Elephas maximus indicus: one gene and its partners. The protein of the gene in region 3 interacts with the protein of the main gene of each other region in a pairwise test. Links are inferred from orthologs where the notes say so. Each region holds a gene or a part of one and is shown on either strand. Other genes may lie near its edges.

Evidence for each region.
Region 1: the proteins of TRIM54 (region 3) and TTC23 interact in binary tests that used the Homo sapiens proteins (3 or more experiments, as listed by UniProt). The two-hybrid records come from large-scale screens. The link is inferred for Elephas maximus indicus from reciprocal best matches to the Homo sapiens genes TRIM54 and TTC23.
Region 2: the proteins of TRIM54 (region 3) and ARHGEF5 interact in binary tests that used the Homo sapiens proteins (3 or more experiments, as listed by UniProt). The two-hybrid records come from large-scale screens. The link is inferred for Elephas maximus indicus from reciprocal best matches to the Homo sapiens genes TRIM54 and ARHGEF5.

Annotation. Positions count from the first base shown.
Region 1 is NC_064831.1:90,662,667-90,668,273, reverse strand, and holds the start of TTC23 (tetratricopeptide repeat protein 23), read left to right. Parts: upstream 1-1,862; 5' UTR 1,863-2,060; exon of another isoform or gene 2,061-2,095; coding exon of another isoform or gene 2,096-2,099; exon of another isoform or gene 2,100-2,291; intron 2,292-5,607. UniProt on the Homo sapiens protein: Participates positively in the ciliary Hedgehog (Hh) signaling.
Region 2 is NC_064826.1:5,478,489-5,484,095, forward strand, and holds the start of ARHGEF5 (rho guanine nucleotide exchange factor 5), read right to left. Parts: upstream 3,998-5,607; 5' UTR 3,879-3,997; intron 1-3,878. UniProt on the Homo sapiens protein: Guanine nucleotide exchange factor which activates Rho GTPases. Strongly activates RHOA. Also strongly activates RHOB, weakly activates RHOC and RHOG and shows no effect on RHOD, RHOV, RHOQ or RAC1.
Region 3 is NC_064830.1:45,788,001-45,793,607, reverse strand, and holds the start of TRIM54 (tripartite motif-containing protein 54), read right to left. Parts: upstream 3,469-5,607; coding exon 3,301-3,468; intron 1-3,300. UniProt on the Homo sapiens protein: May bind and stabilize microtubules during myotubes formation.

The DNA of each region.
Region 1 (5,607 bases), on a different chromosome or scaffold from region 3:
AGGAGACACTGGACGGCAAGCCGAGGGCCCGCGGGAGAGGGGCGGGGCCTCGGGGGCGGGGCCCCGGGCGCCGGGAGGGGCGGGGCGAGGGTGGGGCGGGGCGCCGGGCAGCACAGGGCGGAACCCGCACCTCAGGGAGTGAGGGAAGTGGGAGCCGTGGAGAGGAGAGCGGAACCTCGCGATAACTTGCCCCCGTTCGTGCGGATTCGCGATAGGTGGGACGAGAAGCACGTTTTCCACGAGATGTGTCTATTGGCCGAGAGCGCGGCTTCCTCCACACTGGTCCCGCCCCCTGCCGGCGCTTCCGGCTCCGGCCTGGCGGCTTCTTGGGGTAGCGGGTTTTTGTTTTTCTGAAGTTGTAATTTAACCTTTTCCAGCCCCAAGATCCGGCAATAGTTAACTTTTTCTTTCATTCATGCGTTCATTCAGGCACTCGTGCTCTCGCCCAGTGCATACGTTAAGGAATTGCAACAATAATAACACCGGATGTTGAGCTGTGCGTGGGCTATCTTTTACCCCTCACAACAGCCCCTTCCCACGGGTGCTATTATCCCCTTTCGACTGGTGAAAACCTGAGGCCCGGTGGGTTTCTGTAACGTGGCCTAGGGCAGCACCGGATTTAAAGACTCGGTGGCAACGGGTTTGGTTTTGGTTTTTTTGGTGAGTACCAGGTTCCAAAGATGAAATAACCCAGTCACTGCCCTTGAAACACCGAAGATGTGTAGTGAGTTACGTATTATGGAAGTCCCTAGCATGACTGGGTAGTCCGTCAATAAATATCACTTCAAGAATCAATTTTCCTGTGTCAGTGGAAAGAGACATCAAAGGAAGACGGCTTCAAACTGCTTTGAAAACAACAACCAAGCATTGTTCTGGAATATTAAAACACATACACACATTTTTAAAATACCACGCTTGTTAATGTAACAATTTTATGATGAAGTGAAAATTGTTTTAAAAAGTGTCCTCCCTTAAAACTGCAGTTGTTTATTGGTCTTTGAAAAGCTTGATTTTGGTAATTTTCTAGAGCCTCATTGTAAAGCAACTTTATAATTAACTATTTTCAGTTTGGCTTAATTACTCTTAGATATGAATTACCTAGAAAGGAGAATTATATTTTTTAAAAACTTCCAAAACACGTTGTTAGTTATAAATTACCAATTAAATCTGGTCTTAAGTATACAGGATAGTAAATGTCATATAGTTCTAAGTGTTTTTTTTTTTTTTGGTTGGGGTAGACATTTTTTGCTAGGATTAAAATGAAGAAACCTAAAGCGTGTGTAAAAACAAATTCTTAGGATATTAATGATCAGCCAAAATAATAAAACCTGCTCCTAATACAGAAGTCACAAAAAAGGATTAACAATAGAACAACAATTTTTTTTTTTTTAAACGTGCTGATCAATGTCTGCCTCTTTGGTTTTCATTTCTTCAAAAAATTTTTTTCAGTGGAGCAATTTAGTATATGATACTTGGTCTTGAAAAATGTACCATCTTAAAAATTTTTTTTAAATAACTTTTAACACCCCCCCTCAATTGACACAAAAGTAACCAAGTGATAATTGATAATATAGTATTCTATGACCATTAATGAAAGTCTTCTCATTATATAAAGAATCAGTTTTCACATTTTGCCTTACTTAAAACAAGGGAGGAAGACCCCTCTAACTTAAGTTAGCGATTTTGCAAACTTTCACATCAGCAGGCAGCGATACCACTTTAAGAAAATTCCAAGGAAAAGACAACCCCTTTAAAATTCCCACCTCTGGCTCCCAAGGATTGGATTGCAAACTCCAACAAAATACTCTTCTCCACTTCCTATTGGTGCCTGCTCTATCACTCATTCTTCTGCCTTAAATTTTGTGAAGCACCAGGTTGCTTTACGGGAAAAGGCTCCTCTGATTTAGTCTGAAAGTGCCTACTTTAGGCTTTTTCATGGTTATTAATCTGTACAAAGAATCACAAAACTGATAAAGCGGGAACGAAACTGGTAAATCAGGCTACAAGACAACTGTGAAATTCGCTGGAAAAAGAAACGGAGAACCACTCAAGAACACAGGGTAAACTGACAAAGGATTTTACGACAAAGTTAGAGATGTGTGAGTTAAGAACCTTTTCCCGTTTTTTGCTGGTTTTAAAGGAGCAAGTGTCAAAGGAAAGCCAGAGAAGATGTAGGCATGATCTAAGGGTGACAGGAGGGGGAATTTTCAGAAGATATTTTCCTCATTAGGGAGCAGTTGAAAGAGCATCCTCAGATGATCGGTGGATTTCTGAAAGGTCAAGGGAACAAGGTGATAAGACTAATCATAAATTGTTTTCTACTCTAAGAAGCTGTGATTTGTTATTGTTTTGCTTTAACGTGGACTTATTAAAGCAAATTTAATAATACTGTAATTTATAAATGAATTGGATATTTTTGTACATTACCATACCTAGCATAAGAGACGATCCATCTATTAAAGATGTAAGAGAAAATTAGAATCATCTTTGTACCTAAATTTTGTATATATTTGTGGATTAGGAAATCCAGACCCGCTAATGACCAAACAAAACACCATATTGGCATATAAAGCAGAATCACTAAGTAGGTAATGTTAAGAATAAATTCTCAAAAAAAAATCTAGCATTAATATTTTCAAAAATGATATTTTCATTAAAACTACAATATAAAAGTATAGGAGGATATTGATAAATATGAATACATTAATTATATTAAAACTTGGATTTAGAATGGCAATAGGCAGTGATACCACTTTAGTATCTAGCCCAACATATAGTCCTAAAATAAAAAAATATAGCACCTTAAAATTCTTCAAACATTAATTCAGCTAGTACTTATAATACCTAGTGGCACGTCTACAAAGCCTAAACGCACAGTAGGCATGCACTAAATATTTCTTGAGTGCCTTCTATTAATCCATTTTGAGAAATATAATAAAATAGAGCCCCTTGAAGAAGCTCAGACTGACCCAACCCAGTGCCGTCAAGTCAGTTCCAACTCATAGCGACCCTACTGGCTGGGAGAAAAATCAGTCTCAAAACATTTAAGTTAAAACTATGAGCTCTTCTTGATGCCCAGATAACTGTTACAGACCATAGATGCTTCAAGATCTCAGGTCTGAGTAGAAATATTCAGGAAGGCCTTCAAGTAGGTGAGGCCCAATTCGGGCCTGAGCAATGGGCAAAATTTCAGTAGATATGAAAGAAGGGATGTGACCTTCCAGGTAGTAGGTGAGTTGTTAGCAAATACGTGCAGCCTTGACTTCAGCAGAAGGCTCATTTGGGAATCTTGATTTAAAAGAAAACTTACATGACCGTAGAGCCAAAAGTACCAGAATTGAGGAGTTTAGTCCTGAGTTTTGAACAGGAGAGAGACTTTATGAAAGTAATATACAAAGAAGATAAAACTGACAGTGCCATTTAAGATGGCCCCAAGGGTAGAGAACAGAAGCAAAGAAGCAAAACATTGTAAATACTAGAGTACAGATTATAACTGAGCCTCTTAAAGCATTTTGTCAAATCCCTTTACTGTTGTTGAATAACATAAATCTTCATGCATTTCTTCATACTCTTCGAAAGCTTTGAGTTTATTTCTTGTTTGGCAGTACAGATAACGATTTGGTTAGGTGTGGGACTGGTTGTGGTACAGTTAAAACAGCAAAGGTGATTATATTGTACATTGAAGTGGTTCTTTCTCTTTTGTCTCAGAATTTACGTGTGTTTTCTTGATTTTATTAAACTGAATTGAAGGAGTTACAAAAACAAAACAACAACCAAAAAAACTCCTTATGACAGAAGAATGCCATGGAAGTCTATAAACTTTTCACCTGAAATGCTCCAACGTGAAATTCCACACAAACTCAGTGAGCTGTTACAATGTGCCAGGCGCTATGTTCAATGTTAGGAAAGCAAAGGGGAGTGAAGTACCATCTCCCAAAAAAAGGGCGAAGTGCTTCAGGGACACCAAGGGAGGTGGTTGTCTCCTCCTTGTCTTCATCTCTGCAACAAAACTTGCTTCTAAAGAATTGAAGCTCATCTATCCTAAGTAATTGATGAATGGTTCTTAATTAAGTGGAAGGAGAAGGAGGAATCTTACCTGTGGAAAAGAACTGTGAGACCAGCACTCATAATGTAGATAACTCAAGTGCCACACAATAATGCTTACCCAATATTCCATTTTTTCCCCTAAATATCCGAGCCCTTTTGGCTGGGAGCAAATGAAATGTTAGCAGAAGTGATAAGTGTGACTTCTGGGCAATGGTGCTCATTTTTCCAATCTTTCTTATCTTCTGCTATGACTCCTGTTGATGTATGTTGTTGCTAGGTGCCATCAAGTTGGTTCTGACTCATAGAGACCCCCTGTACAACAGAACGAAACACTGCCCCATCCTGCATCATCCTCACCGTTATTGCTATGTTTGAGTCCACGGTTGCAGCCACTGTGTCAATCCATCTCAATAAGGGTTGTCTTAGTTATCTAGTGCTGCTACAACAGAAATACCATAAATTGTTGGCTTTAACAAATAGAAATTTATTTTCTCACAACTTAGGAGTCTAGAAGTCTGAATTCAGGGTGCTGTTTTTAGGGAAGTCTTCCTCTCTCTGTCAGCTCTGGAGGAAGTTCCTTGTCTCTTTGAGCTTCTGCTCCTGAGCCATCTTCTGTGGCTTAGCATCTCTCTTCCCCCATCTCTGTTTCTTAGTTTGCTTGTTTAATCTCTTTTATATCCCAAAAGAGATTGGCCCAAAATACACCCTCCACTAATCCTGCCTCATTAACGTAACAAAGACAACCCATTCCCAAATGGGATAGTAATCACAGCCATAGAGGTTAAGAATTACAACACATTTTTTCTTTTTGGTAGGGGGAGGTGGGGTGGCGGGGGAGGCACAATTCAATTCATATCAAGGGTCTTCCTCTTTTTCAATGACCTTCTACTTTCCCAAGCATGATGTCCTTCTCCAGGGACTGATCCCTCCTGATAACCCATCCAGAGTATGTGAGGGGAAGTCTCACCATCCTTGCTTCTAAGGAGCACTCTAGCTGTGCTTTCTTCCAAGACAGATTTGTTCATTCTTCCTGCAGTATGTGGTATCTTCAATATTTTTCACCAAAAAGTGCTAGTCAGCCTGGGTCGCTGAGTGACTTTATGAATCGGTCATTCGCCTCCATCCACAAACCAAGTAGCAATGGGCAAAGGTTCAAAAGGAATTAATACATTACCTCATTACAACCTGTCCAATCCTAACTTCTACAAGTGTTAACAGGTTTTCCCCTGGGGATATTGACATTTCATTTATTAAAGTTTCCTTAAGTTTAAAAAAAAAAACAGCTCTAATCAACTAACTTTTAGGTATCTGGTAGATGAGATGTTTGGGGAGAACAATCACCATAAAGAGAGTTTATTTGCTCATTCAGAAGACATTTATTGAGGCTTACTAGGTGCCAGGCACTCTGCCAAGCGATCCTTCCTTTTTAGAGCCAGAATTTTAACTTGAGATTGGTTTTCAGGGTTTTGGGAGGCGTCATCCACATTGTCTCTGGAAATCAGGGCTGGCCCATCTTATAAAAATCTTATAGTCATAGAGGTATAAAAGCCAGAATTACAC
Region 2 (5,607 bases), on a different chromosome or scaffold from region 3:
TCCTAATCCATGTGAGTGGTGTCCTTACAAAAAGAGGAGAAAGGTCACAGAGAGACAGAGGAAGGAGGCCGTGTGACAATGCATCTACAAGCCAAGGAAGTCCTGGGGCCACCAGAGCTGGGAGAGGCAAGGAAGTGTCCTCCCTGAGAGCCTTCAGAGAGCACGGCCCAGCTGACACCTTGATTTCAGACTTGCGGCTACCAGAGCTGTAAGAGAATAACTTTCTGTTCTTATAAGCCACCCAGTCTGTGGTATTTTGTTATGGCCACCATGGGAAACTTCTGCAGTGGCATAGCCAAACAGGCAGAGCTCCAGCCTCCCCGCAGGTGGAGTATGTGACAGGGCCCTGCCGTCTATGACACAGATACCATCTATGTGGGTCAAAGAGCCTGTCTCACGTGAGCAGGCCTGAGTGGAAGGACTCATGTTCTTTCCCAGTGAGCTGACTCACTGTCTGACTTGCTTCCTCTATCCAAACTCTACAGGGGACACTGGGGGTGACCACACACTAAATAGTATGCACCCTGCAGACACTCTGAAGCTCAGCTCCTACCTGCCCAAGGAGACACGTGTGGCTAAACCTGCAGTTTCCCTTCATCCACCTCGGTGTGACCCCAGCCCTCTGCCCTCCACACACCATCCTGTGCTTTGTCCTCAAAATAAATGGCCCCCAAATATATGTTTCTGGCATACCCAGGCTCTATCTGTACGTACCACGTGCCACACGGACACCTTCGGAGCCTCGTTAGTGATACAGCGGTGCCTCCTGCCGTCTTTGCCCAGCTGGAAATTTTGGGGGTCATGGCATAGCCATTTACCCAACTGGAGAAAGAACACACCCCATGTCCCTGCCTGCTCCTGCCATAGTAATCCCATCGCACCCAGGTGGGGCACAGCTGAGCACGACCACCACAGAAGACCTACAGGTGGCCTTACCCACGTAAGAGCACCAAGGCCATTTCTGCGTCACTCCCCACTGCACCCAGGCAGGGCACTGCCGAGCATGACCACCACAGAAGACCTACAGGTGGCCTTACCCATGTAAGGGCACCAAGGCCGTTTCTGCGTCACTCCCCACTGCACCCAGGTAGGGCACTGCCAAGCACGACCAGCACAGAAGACCTGCAGGTGCCTTACTCATGTCAGGGCACCAAGGTCGTTTCTGCACCACCTCCTCACCCCCTCTGCACTGGGGGTGAGTGATCCCTGTTCCCTGTGCACGGGTAGAGAGAAGGCAGGGCACTGTGGCAACCTGGCCCTCCTGCAGACTAAGGGCATTTGCATCCGCCTGACTGGTCCACATGCAACTCTGTCAGAGACAAGCTCAAGTCCCCCACTGACACAGTGTGACAGACAGAGCTCTGGTCCCATCCAACCCCAGTACCAGCTCTTGTCCATGTCTGGCCCCCAGGGTAAACTTACATTTCAAAGATACCCCTGTCACACACTCTTTGGGCTGACATTGGGGCCACGTGTGTGCCTTGGGACCAGGTCTCCTTGATTTTCTGGCAATGTCCATTTCAAATATTCTGACTTCCCCACCAATCCCTGGAGTTCTCTTGAGATGACAACACTTCTTTCTCATTTAAACTTTGTCTTTCAGACTGCGGCTCGCAGTAGGGAAATGCCTCATCTGATTTAGAAAGTAAGATGACCATCAGATGTCGACCTTTTTCACTGTGTTCACGGGACTGCCCCGTGTGTGACCACACCAAAAACCCAAACCTGCTGCTACTGAGCCGACTGTGTGTTACAGGGCAGAGACTGCTCTGTAGGGTTTTCTTGGCTGTGACCTTTCAGGAGCAGATTACTAGGACTTCCTTCCAGTGCCACCAAGTGGGTTCGAATGGCCAACTTTTCAGCTGCTAGTGGAGCACTTGGAGCCCTGGTGGTGCAGTGGTTAACAGCTCACTGGCAGTTCAAATCCACCAGCAGCTCCTTGGAAATCCTATGGGGCAGTTCTGCTCTGTCCTATAGGGTCTCTAAGAGTTGGAATCGACTCAGTGGCAATGTTTATTTTTTTTGTTGAGCACTTAACCGACTGTATCACCCAGGGACCACACACTACAAAAATGACAAAATAAGAGCAGCTTTCTGGACCCCTGACCTCTAAGACCTATGTCCCACCCACTTTAGGGAAGCCCTGCCCTCCCAGAGGAGACTGCAATCAACATTTTTCCTATAGGGTTGTTATGAGTTGGAATTGACTAGAAGGCGATGGGTTTGCTTATTTTTGGGGGGGGAATGTCTGGATATCTGGACATATCACATCATCACTGCCCCGCAGACCCTGGGGTCTCCCCAGAACATCAGAAGCAGCCACAGTGCTAACACGTACCCCCCAGCACACCTGTGGTCCTGATGCTGCCTACACAGTTATCATGTGAGCCACCTGTTCAGACCTGAGAGTCACCCTGTTCTGGCTCACTGCAGACACTCTACCTGACCTGATCCTGTCTGTTCACTCCACAGACACCGTGTGTGGCCCAGCCCCTGTCTACACCAGATGCTGCATGTCTCCTGTAGGTGCGTACGCCACAGACACCTGAACAACACAGTGGCTCCTGTTCACCCCATGAGCAGCCTGTTGCTGCCTGCACACGCCCCAGAGAGCTTGACCCCTCCAGACACCGTGGATAATGTGTTGTGTCTGCCCCAAAGACATCACGCTCAGTATAGCCCCAGACAGCCTCTGACAGGCCATGACTGGCAGCACACACTCTGGGCCCCTGCACACAGGAAGACACCGGGCTCTGCTTGGAAATACTGCATCCTGTGGTAGGAGCCTTCCTAATCCACCTCTTGGCTGTCCCCTTCCCCGCTAGCAGAGTGTCATTTCTTCCTCCTGGCACCCCGTTTCCCCATCCTCCACCTCACCCCAAGAGCCCCACAATGGACTTCCCTTTCAGGTGACCCTCAGGTGAGTTAATAAATGAGCCCCACTGTGGGGCCTCTCCACACTCCAGGTGTGAATAACACAGGACATTGGAGAAGGAGGCCATGTCCACAGATTAAACATGGGGAGGTGGTTAAGTGGAGCAGGGAGCTTCCAGTGTAGCTGAGGATGGAAGCCATAGATAGAGTAGGGTGGTGAGCCTGGAGCTGAGGAAGGAGGAAGCCAGCAAGGACAAGTCAGCCTAGCTCCCAGCCCGCCTGCTGACACACCCTCCCTGGATCTGACATCAGTCCTGACCAGAGGTCACTTGTGGGGAGACAGGCAGCGGTGAATGTGGGGATCAGGAGAGATGGGGCTGAGGCCAGGATTCAGGACAGGCTGGCTGAGGGAATTGTAAATGATGCTCAGGCCCGGGCCCAGTCTGGAGTCCTGGCCCCCGGCCCTGGGCCCTCCTCCTTTCCCAGTGAAGAATGCAGTGTGGTGTTAACAAGGAGCTTCGGGAGGCGCTCCCCGCACCTGCCCATGGGGTGGGGACCTCACTTCTAGGGTGGGGCCCTCACTCCTAAGATGGGAAGCCTTGCTGGTGGAGAGGGGTGCGCACATAGACACACACAAGGTCGCAAACACGTACGGAGGAAGGTAAATGCAGGCCTGGCCACGGCGAAAGACAGAAGAACGCACGTCCTGTAGGCTTTCCTAGAAGAGGGTCTCGATCATCCCCCGTGGGGGCCGCTCCCTCCGGGCCTCGGCGGGCCCCACCCGGCGACGGCGCACCTGGCCAACGGGCGCACCTGGGCCGGCGCCCACTTCCGCGGCCGGCCGGCCGGAAGCGTACTTTTCGGGAAGAAGGTCCCGGCGGCTCCCCTCCTCTTCCTGCCCGGCCTGGGGGTGCTCGCGGCGCACACCAGGTGGCCCGCCCGCCCCCGTTTCCGGGCCGCCAGGCAGGTCGCCTTGGCCGCGCCCCCTCGTCTGCGCCCCTTACCTCTTTGGGCCGGGGACCTGCGCCCACCCGGCCGGTCACATGCTGTCCGCGAGGGTCCGCGGCCCGCCGTGTCCCCGCGCAGGCCCGGCGCCCGCAGACGGGAGGAGGGCCCAGCCTCCTGGAAGTTTCAGGTGAGGAAACCTGGGCACACCTTCCCGGGGGAGGGGCGGTCGATCGCGGCCTCATTGGTGTGAAGGCGGCGGTGCGTCAGAGCCGGGCAGGCCAGGCAGGCCAGCGGCGCGCCCGGGGCCCGGAGACCGAGGGGGCAGGGGACCGAGGGGGCCAGGGGGACAGATCCGGGGCAGGGGCGCAGAATAGAGGGCAGAGGGGAGAAGGGGGCAGGGTGGGGGGACAAGGGGCCAGAGTGGGAGGCAGGGGGGGAGAAGAGAGGCAGAACGGGGGACGGGGGGAACAGAGCGGGCAGGGGCAGGACAGGTGCAGAGCAGGGGTCGGGGGCACGGCCGGGGGCAGGGGACCTAGGGGAATGAGAGGACAGACAGGGGTGGGGGCAGAGCTGGAAAGGCAACAGAGGGGGAAGGTAAGACAGAGGTGGGGGGGGTTACAAAAGTAGTACAGAGGAGGGAGAGAGGAAGTCAAATAATGGAGTGTGAAGGAAGGTCAAGCAGAACAGGGGGGACAGAGTCGGGTGGCGCTCACCCATTTGTGTCCTGTGGGCTTCAATTTGCTGGGCTGAGTTAGGACCCCTGTGTTTTACTCTCCCTGGTCAGATGGGCCAGGTTGGGTCGGATGGGTGGTGATTTACTTCTGAAAGGAATGTTGATACTAGCTCAAAAGTTTTAAAATTGAGGGCTTCTCAGAGATTAACAAGCCTTGTGCTGGAGGAAGACGGAGGCTTAAGAAGTGCAAAGGCCACCCCGACTTGTGGGGTTCCTGCATTGGGTCCCCCTGATGTGCTTGTTGAGTCTTTCTGGGTCACTTTATGGTTAGGTCACTTAGGATTCACTGGGAGGCCCCAGGAGTTATGTGGGGCAGAGAGGGCTGCCTATCCTGGTTTCAGAATACTAGGGCGTTAAGGGGGAAAGAAAGAGCCCTGGTTGCACATTGCTTAAAGCACTTGACTGCTAACCAAAAGATGGGTAGTTTGACACTACCAGCCACTCCTTGGGGGAAAGATGTGGCACTCTGCTTCCTTAAAGATTTACAGCCTTGAAAACCCTGTGGGATCGCTGTGAATCAGAATCGATTCAACAGCAGTGGGTTTTTTGGGGGTAAGGCCAAGAGAGACTTCTGTGCTAGGCCACTGGCTGCGATGTTCTGTGGCCTGATAAAGGCTGGATTTTAGAAGAAAGGACTGGGAGGCCCAGGGGAGAGCAGAACAATTCCGTAGGCAGTAAGGATGACTTCCTGGGACTGTATGTGCGATGGCTTGTTGCAGGGTCACCCTGGATATGCACCTGGAGTGGTTTTACAGGCTGTGGAAGAATAAACAGCCTTGGTTCAGGACTCCTGGGGTGCTGTACCTGGTGCAGCCAAGAAGACACTTGCTACATGGCCTGGCCTCAGGATGCCATCTGTTCACACCCCTTATAGCTGGATCAGGAGGTGCGATTTTAGTGCCAGCAAAGGTTGCCAAGATTCTTGGGGTTTAAAAACAAACAAACAAAAGCTAGATTGGCATCAATAAGTGGTACAATAAATATTAAATTTTTTTAAAAAGTGGGCTGCCAAGCTTACCTATCAGATTAGCCAAGATTGAAAAGGTTAATAA
Region 3 (5,607 bases):
CAGGCCTAAGGCTGCTGACAACGGGTCCTAACAATTAGCCGATAAAGAACTGGGATTCGGGGTGGGGTGAAACGGAGCTCATCTCTTTCCAAGACTGCTCTTGCCTTAGAGACGGAGGCTCTTTCTTAGTATTCCCACCTCAGCAAGTCCCTCCCTAAATGGAAACCCTCTAGAAAAGCTGTTCCTGAACAACCTTCTCACAAGGCCTCCGGATTGTCTGTTAAATTACAACACGTTACAGGTCATAAGCAAGTGCCCACAGTGAAGTGGGGGCAAGTATAAAAATAAACCAAAGGCTTGCATTAAAGTGGCATAGACACAACCGAGTTCACAAATACAGAAACACATGAGAAAATATTTGTGTCAAATTCCCACACCAACAGCTTTCATCTAGTCAAAATTCTTGGTAGCTGAGTGGGTGCAAGTGTGGGGACAGAGGGAAGCAGAAATTTGAGGAGGTTAAGGCGGTGCTTTGTGTTTTATTCAGTTTAAATTCAGAGAAACAGAGATGCATTACGGCTCCAAAGAAAACTAGTTAAATTCTAATGGCAACTAGGTCAAAATATGTTATGTATGGGGACAGGGACTTGAAGTAAAAGGCAAAAATATGATTTCCTCCCATCCCCTTAATACTGTACAATATTTTCAATTAAATGCTTTTATCTTTTCAAATCTTGTTTGCTGGCTCTCTGGTTAACCTGATCTTATAAAATCACAATTCCCCAAAATTCCTGCTTCACAGAAGCCTTTAGAGCGTTATGTCCATCACAGCAGTTTTTAGAGCAGCAAAACACTGGACAATGTTTTAGAGGACTGCTAAAATAGACTGTGGTCCAGCCGTAACTAGGGAAAACCACAGAACCATTAAAGAGAAAGACACAGATCTGAATGTGTGGGGATGGAACAATCGCTGAGAGTGAGTGAACAAAGCCAAGTGTAAGACAATGAGTCTAGTATGCTCTTATTTGTGTTTAAATATGCGTATATAAATACATAAGTGCAAACATGTACCTCTCCACAGAAAATTTCTGGGAGCACACCTAAGAAAGCTGGGAATGGTTACCTCTATCCAAAGAAGGAGACTGAGGGTCTGAGGTGAGTAGCAGATTCACTTTTCATGATATAAACTCCTATATTATTTGAAAAAAAAAAAAGGTATGTGTATATGTATATTGCTTATTAAAAATATATGATTGTCACTTTTTAACTTTTATAATAATGAGTCCTGTTAACTTTCCAGGCAATGTTCTAAGGTGTTCTTCCTAAGTAGTTTTAAGATCAAAACAAAACAAAACCCATTGCTGTTGAGTCAATTCTAAGTCATAGCAACCCTATATAGAGGAACCAAAAGCCCTATTCTTATCCCCATACTCAGAAAACAGACGATCTGATTGTGCCGAGTTGTCAAAATGTGGAGGCAATGTGTGAAAAAACTAAATATGTTCATCTTTTAGAGGGGGATGTACTGAGATGTATATACATAAGTGTGGCTGAAGAACTGGGTCAGCCTCCCACCAGGCCTTCCCAAATAAAACATGAAGGAAACAAGCTGTTCACTCTTATCTTCTTGGAAGGCCCAGGGGCTGTTCCACATCACTCCCAAAGAACCATCCCGAAGCCTGGAATCACATTATCTCCCAAATAATCTGTACAGTGTTGGACCCAAACCCAAACCATCCCCAGTTCTCTCTGGGCCCACATCAGTATTCTAGAGCTTCATGGGACCAAAGCAGTGTGCCTGGGTACAGAAGACCAACTGGAACAACAGAGGTCATTTAAACATCTTCTAGTCTCCATGTATGTGACCTATTCCTGGGTCCCACCACACAATTACTGTGTGGCTTGTACTTTAATATCCTGACCACTTTTTTTTAAAGGGCACATTACTTTAGCTTTCAAAACTTCTTTTTGCTTTCACATATTTCAGGTTCAAATGAGGGGTGTTTCAGTATAAATTCATGAGATTTTTGCCATCCCCCCCACCAGGCACCTCAGTCTAAAGAATGTTCAAAATTAGACCAAGGGAAAAAACAGGATAGTGGACAAAGTTGCCTCTCTTATATGACTTGATGACCGGGATGAGCAGGCATAGGAGTCTACACCCCAACAGAGGGAAAAACTTCTGGCTTTGTACTCTAGAGCCAAATAATGGCAGGTTTGGACACTTGGAGGAATAGGGGATGGAAATAGGCCTCGATGAGAAGACGGTAAAAGAGACTGCAGGTTGCTAGGCGGTAAGGAAAGATGGCAGACAGCTGACGGGCAAGGGCACAGCTGCAGGACAGCCCCATCTTAGTTTGCCCTTCTTTGCCCCCAAAGAACTTAAAAGGGAAGCATTTTCTTGGTTAAGTTAAAAATCAATTGTGTTCAACACATTTCCTCATAATTTCTGATACAGATGAAGAACTTATTCGTGAAGTTCCTTATCACTGTCATACATACAAAGCCAGCTCTGGCCTATTTAGAGTTATTTCATTTGCAAGGTATCCAGGTCTTTCCCTCTCACTTTCTCTGATCTTTGTTCCATTTCATAGCTTACTAGTACTCCAGTGTAGCACAGGGCAAGAAAGAAAGCTCACTTATAAACCACTCTGGTATATGCTGCTTTTATATTTGAAACCAGTGGCTAAAATGGTATCTGTGAGATCGATTAGTTATGGAAAGTAAAATTTCTTATCTCCCTTCTCTCTGTTTAAGTCAAGTGACCTCAATGCTTTTCACCAGTAGGCCTCTTTACTGAACACTCTGGAGCAGAGCACAGGTTATGGATATAAGCTGGGGAGAATTCCCACTGTGTCTAACACTGCCCCCACAGAATCAGGGAACTGAGCTTTGTCTTAAATACAAGTAGTTTCTCTGTCATCACAGACCTTTTCTCACAGGATTTATCTTTAAATATTTTATTATCTTGTTGATCTTCTCCCCATATTTTCCATATCACTCTCAAAATCTGAAGCTCCACACTGGAGTGCAGTCTGTCACAGGCTGTGACAGGGCCTGGTGTGGGATCACCTCCCTCCCAGTTTCTATGGGATCTTCTTTCCTCTGTAGGTGCTGGCATTCCAGCTGCTGTACTTCATAGGCTGCACCACCAGCCTACGGCGCAGCTGCTGACTCATGCTCACTTTGGGACCTGCTAGGAGTCAGGCCCTTTTTCTGCTCTTCTGTCACAACAGCCACCACCCACCTCACACAGCATGGTACCCATCACCTTCTCGGGACTCAGCTCTGACCTGGCTCGAAGTCTTATTGCAAGTCTATGTTTCTTCACCCGTCCCTACCCCCGCCCGGGGAGCCCACCTGGAAGACGTCGTTGGCACACTTGCGGCACAGGTTGTGTTGGCAGGGCAGGATCACCACCGGTTTGGAGAACATCTCCAGGCAGATGGGGCAGATGAGCTGCTTCTCCAGGTTGTCCATGCTGTGTGCATCCCCTAGCAGCGGCTTGAAACCCACTGCGAAGTTCATCCCCTCAGCGATCGTGCCTGCCCTGGCCTTGGCCCTGGTCCTGGCCTTCTCTCACTAACTCTGGACCCTTCCTCGTTTACTTTAGACAGTCTGCAGATTCTTATGTTCCCTTCTGTTGCTCACTCTTGAAATAGCTCTGCTATCTCTCCTGTCCTTCCTCTAACAACTTGCCTCGTCCTTAGATGGCTGTCTCCAGACACTTCTGTCTCACCCTGTTCTCTGCTCTATGCCCTAGCCAGGCACATGTAGCTTAATCTATCCCTCCCTCTGTCCCTGGAAAATTCTCCTTTTGTTTCTCAAACGACTTTCTCTTGTTCACTCTGTGGGCAGCACTGTTTGTCCCTCACTCCACAGAGAGGAGATTAACTTTAACATGGGGGTGGGGAGGCAAGGGGCATCTGTATGTCATTCCAGCTCCCAATTTAGCTCATGTAAGGCGAGCCACAGCTGTCATTGAGTGAGTGACCCTGACTCACTCAGGAATGGGTGGCTCCCTTGAGCAACAGCAGGGAGTGAGCTTCATTGCTTATGGTGAAGGGTATGCTAGCAGAGGTGTCAGTCTCTCATTTGCTTCCCCTCAGAAGGCTCCCGTGAGCCCCTGACCTCCATGCTCTGGCTTGGGCTCTTCTTCCAGGGCAGTGACACAGAATTCTAAATTAGCCCGCGTGAAAGGCACTATGCAAGTCCCAGGGTGGGAGGACAACTCTCGCCAGACCTACAGTCAGTGACAGTTTCCTCCTCCACAGACTTAGCCAGTGACCCTGGCCCTCCTCCTTGAGACCCCGTGATTCAGAACAGAGGCATCAGAGACTAGAGAGACATTTCTGGTTCATTCTGTTCTTGCCCAGCCCCTTCTCATATCACCCTAGGAAAAGGAGCTAAAGAGGTCAGAGGTGGCTGTTGTGCCAGGGCCTGGAACGCCTTTACAAGAATGCCCCTGTGAAAGTGTAAGATTCTGGTCCATGAACACCTCACAGGAAGAACTCTGATGACCTTTAACTTTGTTAGGAAATTGGGAGAAGGTGAGGTGGGCAGAAAGGACCTGAATGCCAGGGACCTATTTTGGACACCAAGGGAAACAGTCTCCAGGGAAATTTTAGAGCACTGACAAAATACATAATCACAAGGCTCCAGGAAGCTTCTGCCCCAACCCCACAGTTGTCCTGGACTCTTCCTCTCCAGGCCAGGCTGGTCCCAGGTTTGAACACTGGCCCCCTATCTTTTTCTCCTACACGCTTTGTTCTTTATCCCAGGCCCAATTTGTCTCCCCAGCCCCCTATCCCCGGCCAAAAAAAAAAAAAAAAAAAAAAACGCACTGGGATTGGACAAAAGCTCTTTATTTACTGACATTTCTTAGCCCTTATCTCAGTCAAGGGAGAGAAGTTTCAGGAGTTACTAAGCTCTGACCCTGGGTGTATGGGGAATAAATGGTGTGGAGGAGATGCCAAACAGGCAGAGCAAAGAGGCACATGTGGGGAAAGGGTCTGTAACAGTCCTTTCCCTATCACGTTTCATGCCCTTGTTTTAAGAATAAAATACCTGGTAATGAGCCTCTATAAGATGTGGTAGAAAGGATGGAGGCAAGCAAGCACTGATGTGTGAACTCCTGTCAACCTACAGGACCAATATTAATGGTTGCTGTGCTGGTAGCTGAAGTCCAGGGAGAAACCAAAGGTGGGATGACTACTCCTAAGCCTCAAATACACTCATACTTCTCCTGGGTTGACTCACATGACATGGAATGTGGTGGGCAATGCCAAGGGCATGGGCACCCGAAGAAGGTGAGACTACTCCCAGAAAGCTGTAGTGGCTTAAGAATGAGGCTGACACAAGGAGTTCTTGGTACACAGAGTTGTAAGAGAGGAGGGTTAGCTGGTACAGCAGCTCCAGGGATGGGATTCACCCTGCCCAGGCATCAGGATCTTGGTGGAGATATCGCAAGTGGCTCAGGGACCCGACCAGCTGACACTCAGTCAAATCCCAAGGAAAGCACAGGTTAAACAATCTTCAGGAAAAGTTTGCCACCACTGCCTGAGGCCTCATAAGGGTAGGGATGGGAGAGCTGCTCTCTGACAGATTGACATTGGTACTGGAGCTAAAAAAGAGTAGCTGGGCAACCCTGTATGGCTGGGGTTGGTG